3 linked regions of the Nothobranchius furzeri genome follow. The protein of the gene in region 2 interacts with the protein of the main gene of each other region in a pairwise test. Links are inferred from orthologs where the notes say so. Each region holds a gene or a part of one and is shown on either strand. Other genes may lie near its edges. The genes, in order: ca8, spdl1 and dnaaf4.

Region 1 (3,657 bases), on a different chromosome or scaffold from region 2:
ACAGGACAATGGAGTCCCCTGATGGAGCACTATCTAGCACTCGTCCCAGGGACTCCAAAAAGGGTGGGTACTCTGAACTGATATTTGGCCCATAAGCACAAACAACAGTCAGGACCCGTTCCCCACCCCGAAGGCGCAAGGAAGCTACCCTCTTGTCCCCCGGGGTAAACCCCAACACACAGGCAGAGAGTCTCGGGGCTAACAAAAAGCCAACCCCAGCCCTCCGCCTCTCACCCGGAGCAACTCCAGCAAAGTAGAGTGTCCAACCCCTCTCCAGGTCTCGGGTTCCAGAGCCAATGCAATGTGTCGAGGTGAGTCCGACTATATCTAGCCGGTACCGCTCAACCTCTGCCACAAGCTCCGGCTCCTTCCCCGCCAGCGAGGTGACGTTCCATGTCCCAAAAACTAGTTTTCTTGTCCGGGGATTGTTCCGCCAAGGCTCCCGCCTTGGTCTGCCACCCGATTCGCATTGCACCGGACCCTTCATGTTCCTCCTGCGGGTGGTGGGTCCACAGTTGGACGAGCCCATGTATCCAGTTCGGGCTGGGTCCGGCCGGGCCCCATGGGCGAAAGCCCGGCCACCAGGCGCTCGCTCACGGGCCCCAACCCCAGGCCTGGCTCCAGGGTGGGACCCCGGTAACCCTCCGGGCCGGGTACTCCGACTCTTCGTTTTAACCGCCATGAAAGATCCTTCGAACCGTTCTTTGTCTCACCCTTCACCTAAGACCAATTTGTCATGGGATACCCTACCAGGGGCACTAAGTGCCCCAGACAACATAGCTCCTAGGATCATTAGGGCACTCAAACTCCTCCACCACGATAAGGTGACGGTTCAAGGAGGAGATAACTGGCTTCATAACTCAAAATACTGCTGTTAAATTATGACTCTTTGACTTTACAAATGGCACCCCATGCATGTGCATATCACTGTAAAGCGACAAAACGCCCGGGCGAAACATCGCGAATGAGACAGTCTCATCAGACATATGGATATCTGTTTCTTCTTCAGGGAATGTCAAGAATATCTACTAGGCTTTTCTTATTATAAACCTGTGAATATGTGCAGAGGGGTGAGTTTGATGATTATTTAGTTTTTGCAGGTGGTGGTTTTGTTGTCGTACTCCAGCCACTTTCACAACTGAATGAACGACATCAGGTTTTCTAAATCAGCAGGTCCTGCTTTTCTAGATTACACACTTCAAATATCCGCCTATTATTGACTTCCAGAAGAATGTGTGTGTGTGTGTGTGTGTGTGTGTGTGTGTGTGTGTGTGTGTGTGTGTGTGTGTGTGTGTGTGTGTGTGTGTGTGCAGTGTTTGCATGTTGCACAACAGTTGCTATGCTCACAGCCTTTGCACTTTGTGCAGTAGACCTCTTTCAGCCAGCGGCGCAACAGTGCAAGATCTGGTCTTTGTTTCAGCGGTTTGGGGCCCAAAGTGTGTTCAGTGAGGTGATAAAATCTGCAGTGGCTACGATTTACTGCAACAGGAAGTCGTACCTTGTTTTGTTCAAAATTCTGTTCTGACATGCACTAAAAATCACCTCAACAACTTGCAAAGGCTTGGATTCAGATTTGGAATGGGAAGTCAATGCTTTAAATTTGTAGGGAATTTGTTCAATGCTCAGACTGAAAAAGACAACAAGTCCACTCTTTAACTGATCAATTTATGCTCTGAAAATAAAAAATAAAAAAATCACACAAAGAGCAGAGATGAAATATTTCTGTTGTGGCTGAATTATTTTATCGTTTGTGTGCAGATTGAAGAGTTTCGGAGGCTGAGGTCCCACATCAAGGGGGCGGAGCTGCCTGAAGGCAACGATGGATTGCTGGGGGACAACTTCCGCCCCACCCAGCCGCTCAGTGAACGAATGGTTCGCGCTGCCTTCCAGTGACTTCTACATCCCTCTGCCATCACAAATAAACTGTGAGAACTGCAAACACAAAAATAGGTCCGTCCCCATTACTCAGCTCACTGCAACCCACTTTGCTGCAACAGTTCAGTGATAATGGATGTGGCTAAAACTGCTGACGGGGTGTTTGTTTTCTCAAAATAGGCTTTAATTATTTGAAAGTCAATTATTTAAGTAAAACAAATGCATACTTGATAGAAATCTGACTAGAATGTGTCGGCAAATGCTGTTCTCTGTGTTTTTGGTCCATTCAGCACACTTCATCACTGGGGACGGATTTCTAATGGAAGCAAAGCCCCAGAGGCTGTCAGGTCCTCTGATACTGAAGTATAACAGAGCAGGCCCTGGAAGAAGTAACCCAGTTCACTTACTAATCTGGGACCAGCCCTATATACATTACAGTGATCCCAGATTTAGCTCAGGAGCACTGCGGCAGGAAGACAAGGCAGAACAAAACCAGAGGAGATGAGGATTTTAACCATCCAACTTTTGTAACTGACAAAAAAAATCTGAATTTGTTTCCACAACTGCACTTGGTAAATGCTGAATGTAAAACATAGCAGCAAGATGGTGGTCTCAACAACTCTCACATGAGCTGAAAACAAAGATTATTCACCATCCTGGGTTAGGGGAAGGTGTCAGAGATTTCTGCTGGCTGTTTCCTCAGTTAGGAACATACTGAGGAAATGGAAGACCACAGGCTCAGTTCTAGTTAAGGCTCGAAGTGGCAGACCAAGAAACTTCTCAGATAAACAGAAGAGAAAATAGGTGAGAAGTCAGAGTCATCCCACAGATCAGCACCAAAGACCTATAACATTGTCTTGCTGCAGATGAAGTCACTGTGCATCATTCAACTATTCTGTGCGCTTTACACAAGGAGATGCTGTTTGTGAGAGCGATGCAGAGGAAGCCTTTTCTCTGCCCACTGCACAAACAGAGCTGCTCGAGGTTTGCTAAAGCACATTTGGACAAGCTAGCTTCATTCTGGAATAAGGTGCTATAGACTGATGAAACTAAAACTAAGTTATTTGGACAAAACAATGTTATGCGTTATGCATGGAGGAGAAAGAACACAGCATTCCAAGAAAAACACCTGCTACCTACAGTAAAACATGGTGGTGGTTCCATCATGCTGCGGGACTGTGTGCCCAGTGCAGGGACAGGAATCTTGTTAAAGTTGAGGGACACATGGATTCCACTCAATATCAGCTGATTCTGGAGACCAATGTCCAGGAATTAGTGACAAAGCTGAAGCTGCACCGAGGCTGGATCTTTCAACAAGAAAACAACCCTTAACACTTCTAACAATCTGCTAAGAAGAAGAAGAAGAAGCAAATATCATTTCTATAGCGCCTCTCAAGATAAAAATCACGAGGCGCTTCACAAAAACAAAAAAAGTAAAAATATAAAAAAGCATTTAGAAGTAAGGCATTCATGCAGAGGAACAAGTAGAATGTTCTGGAATGTTCATCTCAGTCCCCAGACCTGAATATTACTGAAAATCTGTGGTGTGAGTTAGAGCTGTCCATGCTCAGAAGCATCAAACCTGAATGAACTAGAGATGCTTTGTAAAGAAGAATGGTCCACAATACCTTCAGCCAGAATCCAGACTCTCATTGGAAGCTATAGGAAGTGTTTTAGAGGCTGTTATTTCTGCTAATATATTGTTATATATGTAACAAGCCCCAGGAGTTGGGCCTGTTGACAAGATTAAATGTTCATGTAAAACAGGAAAAAGATGAGACA
Region 2 (2,592 bases):
AACACTTGAGAATCCTACCGGTGGAGCTGGTGGAGGTTGCTGAGGAGAGGGATGTCTCTGCTGGAGAGGCTACCACGAGACCCGGTGGTGACCACTCCACTGAATTTAATTCCTCTAAGAACTTAATACAGGTCACTGTTCAACAGGTGAGAGCTCGGAGGATCAGCTACTGACCTGTCAGTCACATCCGAGTCTTCAACGCTGATCCTCACACACTTGGCAGGTCGCGGGTCTGACCCTGAAGCTAGAACAGAACAGAAATTATTCAGATTTCCATCAGGAAATCCCGTCTGCAGGGAGCGAGCAGCAGGTCTCACACCTTCTGAGCAGCGGTTTGTCTCAACGGCCTCCAAGTCAGCTGTTTTTGAGTCCGTCACTTCCACAGCAGCCATCTGCTCACCACGAGCAACGCCTTCAGGGGGGGCAGGGATGTCCACAGGAAGCTTCTCCCTCCTTTTCCTCTGGACAGGGTTCTTTTCCACCTCTGCAGACAGGAAAGTGTTATGGACAAGACGGCAAACAGAATAATGAGGGGGTTGGGTCCTTCTGTCACCTTTGGGTTCATATTTGTATTGAAGCTCTTCCACACGCAGCTGCAGCTTTAAATTGTCACTCTGAGCCTAAAGGAAGAAGACCAAAACCAGGAAGTAAATATGTCCATGTCTGCAGCCGAGCTCAGGAGGACTCACACCAGCAGCATTACTGCAGAGGCCTGCTGGTGAGACGACTCAACAAGCAACCCAACGTGAGTTTATGCGGATGACGAGGCTGTGGACACACCGATCTGGTGAACAGGAAGAGCAGCTTTACCTGCTTCAGCAGCTGCTCAGACTTGAACAGCTTCCTCTCCAGCTGCAGCGCTCTCTGACTCTCAGACAGAGACTTCATCCTCTGCCGGGAAAGCTCGTCTCCTAAACGCTCGACATCTTTCCTGAGAACACACACCAGAGGGCACAGAGCTGTAACATGTATGTGACCTCATCCTGAACAAAGACCACCCTGACTAAACCAATCAGCTCTCTGCTTGAGCCATTGTCCACCTAGCAACTGGATCTTCATTAGCAACTCCAAGCTAGGACGGCCCTCGGTGCTCAGGGTCAGAGTTAGACCTGGGGACTCACCGTGAACCAGAACCATACAGCTGCTGATTAGTCTTCCTCCTCATTTTTAGACCTAATGGAGGGAAACAGTGAAGCAGCTGAACTCACTCGCTGTTGCTGAGCTTCATTCTGAGAAGGTCGGTGTAGTAGGTCTCATCTGGACCATCAGAGTTCCCTGCTGGAGACTGACTGGCTGAGTGGGCTTTTAACAGGATCTACACACACACACACACACACACACACACACACACACACACACACACACACACACACACACACACACACACACACACACACACACACACACACACACACACACACACACACACACACACACACACACACACACACACACACACACACACACACACACACACACACACACACACACACACACACACACACACACACACACACACACACACACACACACACACACACACACACACACACACACACACACACACACACACACACACACACACACACACACACACACACACACACACACACACACACACACACACACACACACACACACACACACACACACACACACACACACACACACACACACACACACACACACACACACACACACACACACACACACACACACACACACACACACACACACACACACACACACACACACACACACACACACACACACACACACACACACACACAAAGACAATTAATCTTTAGCTGTGTGTGTGCGTGTGTGTGTGCATAGTGAGTTTGCCATTTAGCCGACAAGCTCACCTCTGACCTCTCCAGTCTCTGGAGTTTAGCATTCAGATTCTGGATCTCTTCATTCTTCTCCGACAACATGTCCTGCAGTCTCTCCACCTGGTCCGAGTCAGCTTTAGAACCCAGCAGCTGCATCAGAGTGGCTATCTGGATCTGCACAGCACACATGTGTTGCTGCATGGTTCACGTGAGAGCAGCTTCCCCCTGTAGTGATCGTACCTTCATGCGCTGCATCTGCTGCTTGCTGAAGGCATGGTGCTTCTGCAGGGACTGGTACTGAACCTTCATGCTGATGAGCTGTTTCTCCATCTCAGCTCTCTTGTCCTCCAGCTGCAACGACATCCAACAGAATGAGCAGCAGAGGCAACTTCAAACCCAGCTGAGTGTGTGTGCTTACCTCAGCGAACAGCGAGTTCCCCTTACTGTTTGGATCCTGGGCCTGCTGAAGAACCTGATCCAACTGGATCTGGAGGTCTCGGTTCACTTCTCGAGATTTCTGTGGCAACACAAGACTGGAATAAGTGTGCAGAGACACGGGCTGGAAAAAACACTGAAGCTCAACATTGGTTCTACTTAGCAGCAATACACTGAATGTTGTGTAAAAGTAATCAAGTACTACACAGTAATCCAGTACGACACCGTTAGCTAAAATAACAAGCTAACGTTATCTTAAACAAGGCAGCTTTATTTGTATAGCACATTTCAAACACAAAAGCAATTCAAGGTGCTTTGATTCAAA
Region 3 (3,757 bases), on a different chromosome or scaffold from region 2:
TGTATTCTGGGTAATTTTTGACCAAGGCTAGGCTACAAGACAACTCCCGTGTATCCTTGCTCAGCTAGCTAAACGGCTAACAAACGGAGAACACATGCCTCGGTAGAACATGAACACAGGAACACGTCTTGTTGGCTCCCGATGACGTATCTCCTAGGCAACCGGGACGGGGCCAAGACCAAGGCAAGGTCCCTTGGCATTGAGAAACACCCATGGTCTGTCTTTGCTCCTGTAGATTTCCAGGACATTTACCTCATTCAGAAACCAACCTCATGTATTCTTGTTTGACCATATTGGTCCATGCATTGTAGATTTTATTCATTTGTCCCTACAATCCTGCTCTGTACCATCTGTTTTCAAATATGCAGTTATTGAACCTATCCTTAACCAAGTCTGGACTCATCTCAGCCTAAAAATTACAAACCCATTTCTAAATGACCCTTCATCTCTAAAATAATGGAAAAGGTTGTGGCAGATCAGCTGATTACTTTTCTGGAATTACACAACCGTTTAGATAAATTCCAGTCTGGTTTTGGTAAAAAGTATTCAACAGAAACAGCTTTGCTTAAAGTTTCCAGTGACACTGTCTGAGTGTGTCTGTCTATTTTTAAATGTAGCACTGGTGCAACATCTTTGAATTACTATTTTCCCCAGAACTTTATTGAACAAAAGTAAGTAACGTGTAAGAAAAAATGCTTTTTACTGGTGCACAGCGTGGAAATCTGGATGCAGTGGAGGAAAATAAAGGAACCAGCAAAGACACAAAGGTCTGTGTCTGCTCTGTCTTCTTGGTCCCCAGTGGATCGTGGCAGTTGGCGGATGGCTGCTTGTACTGGGCCGGAATCCTCTGGAGGTTTCTTCCTGTTGAAGGGGAGTTTTCCTTTCCACTATCGCTGCATGCTTGCTTAGTATGAGGATTGCTCCTGACACAAGTCAGTGACTCAATGCAATTTGCTGGGTTCCTTATGTAGGAAACTTTTTTCTGATTGGCTTAATGAATTGACCTGTATTGGAATGTTTATTATGTGAAGTGCGTTGAGACGACTCTTGTCGTGATTTGGCGCTGTATAAATAAACTTGAATTGAATTGAAAAGGCAGAACTAGCCCAAAGTTTGGGATCAAACGTGCAGCTACATTGGCTAATGCTAAAGCGAACGGGTAGCAGTCTCACGATCAAGAGGTGCACAGAAAAATATATGATGATCGAAAAACTAAGACTAAACTCTACAAACGGATGAATATTCCCCACCATCCTGTTTATTCTGCATCCTGCAGCGCTATGGATCAGAACCGCTGCAGAGTCACATTTGCAGGATGTACGGCAAGCCGTTGTAGTGTTTAATTCACAAACACTTCTATCTTTGAACATAATTTAAACTGGATTATTGCCAACCCGTACATAATAGACAAGCAACCGTTACACTGTTACCAGCAGAAATTAAATGTTATTACCATTTCCAATACAAATGCATGTTAATGAAATGTATTGTATGTTACTAGATATATTTGTGTTATTTAGACTAAGATGAGGTTATTAATACAAACCTAAAATGTTACTGAAATGTAGGTCAAATATTGAAAAATATTTTTAACTATAAATATCAGATGGGAAAAAGGGTACTAAACACCAATCTAATGCATATCATTGAGCCTCTCATAATGAGTCTGTTATTTCAGCCCGATAATTTTGTTTTATTTTATATTTTTTTAGCACATACTTTTTGTGCTTTATTTGCTTGTTGGTGCTTTTGCTTCTACATCTTTCAAGACATTCAGCTCATTTTGACAGTTTTGCTTAATTCCAGCTTCAGTTCAGCTGTTCAGCAGCTTCAGCTTACAGTTTCAGCTATCCAGCATTCAAACAGCATTTGTGCAATAAATGCAATTTTTCTAGTTGCTTTTATATTTATGGGGAGGGAGATAATGTGGGGTCACTTTAATTTGTAAAGCACTGTGAGTTGCATTTGTTGTATGAATTGTTCTATATAAATAAAGTTTGACTTGATTTCTCATGGACCTGGTCCAATAGACCACCCTAGACGGTCTAATATGACCTAAACTAATATTGCTGAGCATGCGCATTAGAAACCTTGAGGTACTGGTCCGTTGACATGACGTCCACTCTCCCGGGCGCCGCTCCTTTTAACGGTACGCTGACGTTGACCGCGGAGTCCGTCTGGCTCCACGTGTAGTCCGTCACGTGCAGCGGCATGTTGGACTCATCTGTGTGCGCGCGCACTGATAATAATCGTGAAAAACTAGGTTGTTTTCAGGTTAGAAACTTCCGAACAACAACTTCCGTTTCAGTCCCAGCGGCATTCTGTTACTATGGGGACGAGAGACCGCGTGCTGCCTTCAGGGTTGTCGGAGATTTTAGATTTCAGTCACGTGCGGATCTATTCTCTTTACACATTTCTCACACAGACGTATTTACGGATTAAATAACCTGCTCAAGCACAGCAGGCCAGCAGGTAAAGGTGTTGCCTTGGTTACTAGCTAACCAGAACATAAACATGACATCTACAACGTCACATGGAGCACACTGTTGTGTTGGTTTGTATTTTTAAAATGTCATTTATAACTTTTTACTATCATTATTTTAATATTTATAATCAACATTTGATGCTTTTATTGCTGAGGAGAAAATGTTAATGATCTCACACACCTTATCTTTATAGCTTCTTTGTGTGTTGTTCATTAGAATTATGCAATCTCTACATTTTCATTAGTTCTTAGTTACAGAGTCTAATAATAATAATAATAATAATAATAACAATAATAATAAAAACGATTAACACATGAATCAAAGCCCATAGAGAAGGCCAGGATTTCATCAGCCTGTTAAACTGAATAGATGTTCTTTGATGTTCTGGCCCTGTGGGCCAATTGACCATGATTCTTTGGTTAAACATTTGGCTTTAATTGCATCTTGTTGCAAAAGAATGCTGACTGACAGTAAAGTAGGGACATGTCTTTGTAACGGTGCCATCTCTAATCTGGAGTTTGTCTTATCAGTGTGCAGAGATAAAAGTCTCTTTATGAACTCTTTCCTGTAAACACCTGAAGCTCCAGATTCTGACCTTTGACCTTATAAATGCATCATCCTGGTAGATAAAACAGATAACTCCTGTTTCTAACACCGAACATGTAGTCCTCTGCAGGATTACACAGTTAGAATAAAAACATGCATGTGCAGAAGTTAGTTATGGAGTCAGGAACGTGGCGGTGGATGATCTGCCAACCTCAGATGGTTTCAGTGTCAGAGCCTGTAAATCTGTTTTTATGCCTTCAGACAGAAATAATCAATCAGGAACCCAACAGATGGTTTCATTTGAAGCTGTTTGGCTTCATTCACTCACAATAAAATATTATTAAACCTTTTATGGTGCTTCTCCTGTTGTCTTAGGCGTGTGTGTGTGTGTGTGTGTGTGTGTGTGTGTGTGTGTGTGTGTGTGTGTGTGTGTGTGTGTGTGTGTGTGTGTGTGTGTGTGTGTGTGTGTGTGTGATTTATGTACTTTCTACATGATTTGACCCCATAAACCCTCTGATAGGAAAACTTAAGTTTCATGAGAGCAACAAAGTGTCAGAGCTGCGTTCATTTCTCTGGACATCAGATTTGTTTCTGTTCATGTGAGAAACGGATTTATTATTGTTTAACAAGGAAATAAATTCATGCTTTTGTTTTAAAAATCATAGTTTTCATGTGTTTTGGATCAATAAGTAAATATAGAGAAACGCAACTAAAATCTGAATCCG

What was found.
Region 1: the proteins of spdl1 (region 2) and ca8 interact in binary tests that used the Homo sapiens proteins (3 or more experiments, as listed by UniProt). The two-hybrid records come from large-scale screens. The link is inferred for Nothobranchius furzeri from reciprocal best matches to the Homo sapiens genes SPDL1 and CA8.
Region 3: the proteins of spdl1 (region 2) and dnaaf4 interact in binary tests that used the Homo sapiens proteins (3 or more experiments, as listed by UniProt). The two-hybrid records come from large-scale screens. The link is inferred for Nothobranchius furzeri from reciprocal best matches to the Homo sapiens genes SPDL1 and DNAAF4.

The regions. Positions count from the first base shown.
Region 1 is NC_091751.1:59,051,463-59,055,119, forward strand, and holds part of ca8 (carbonic anhydrase-related protein), read left to right. Parts: intron 1-1,758; coding exon 1,759-1,893; 3' UTR 1,894-1,925; exon of another isoform or gene 1,926-1,950; intron 1,951-3,657. UniProt on the Homo sapiens protein: Does not have a carbonic anhydrase catalytic activity.
Region 2 is NC_091741.1:109,686,666-109,689,257, reverse strand, and holds part of spdl1 (protein Spindly), read right to left. Parts: intron 2,350-2,592; coding exon 2,251-2,349; intron 2,184-2,250; coding exon 2,073-2,183; intron 2,007-2,072; coding exon 1,866-2,006; intron 1,316-1,865; coding exon 1,209-1,315; intron 932-1,208; coding exon 811-931; intron 621-810; coding exon 554-620; intron 485-553; coding exon 320-484; intron 245-319; coding exon 175-244; intron 1-174. UniProt on the Homo sapiens protein: Required for the localization of dynein and dynactin to the mitotic kintochore.
Region 3 is NC_091744.1:80,737,627-80,741,383, forward strand, and holds the start of dnaaf4 (dynein axonemal assembly factor 4), read right to left. Parts: upstream 2,545-3,757; 5' UTR 2,214-2,544; coding exon 2,091-2,213; intron 1-2,090.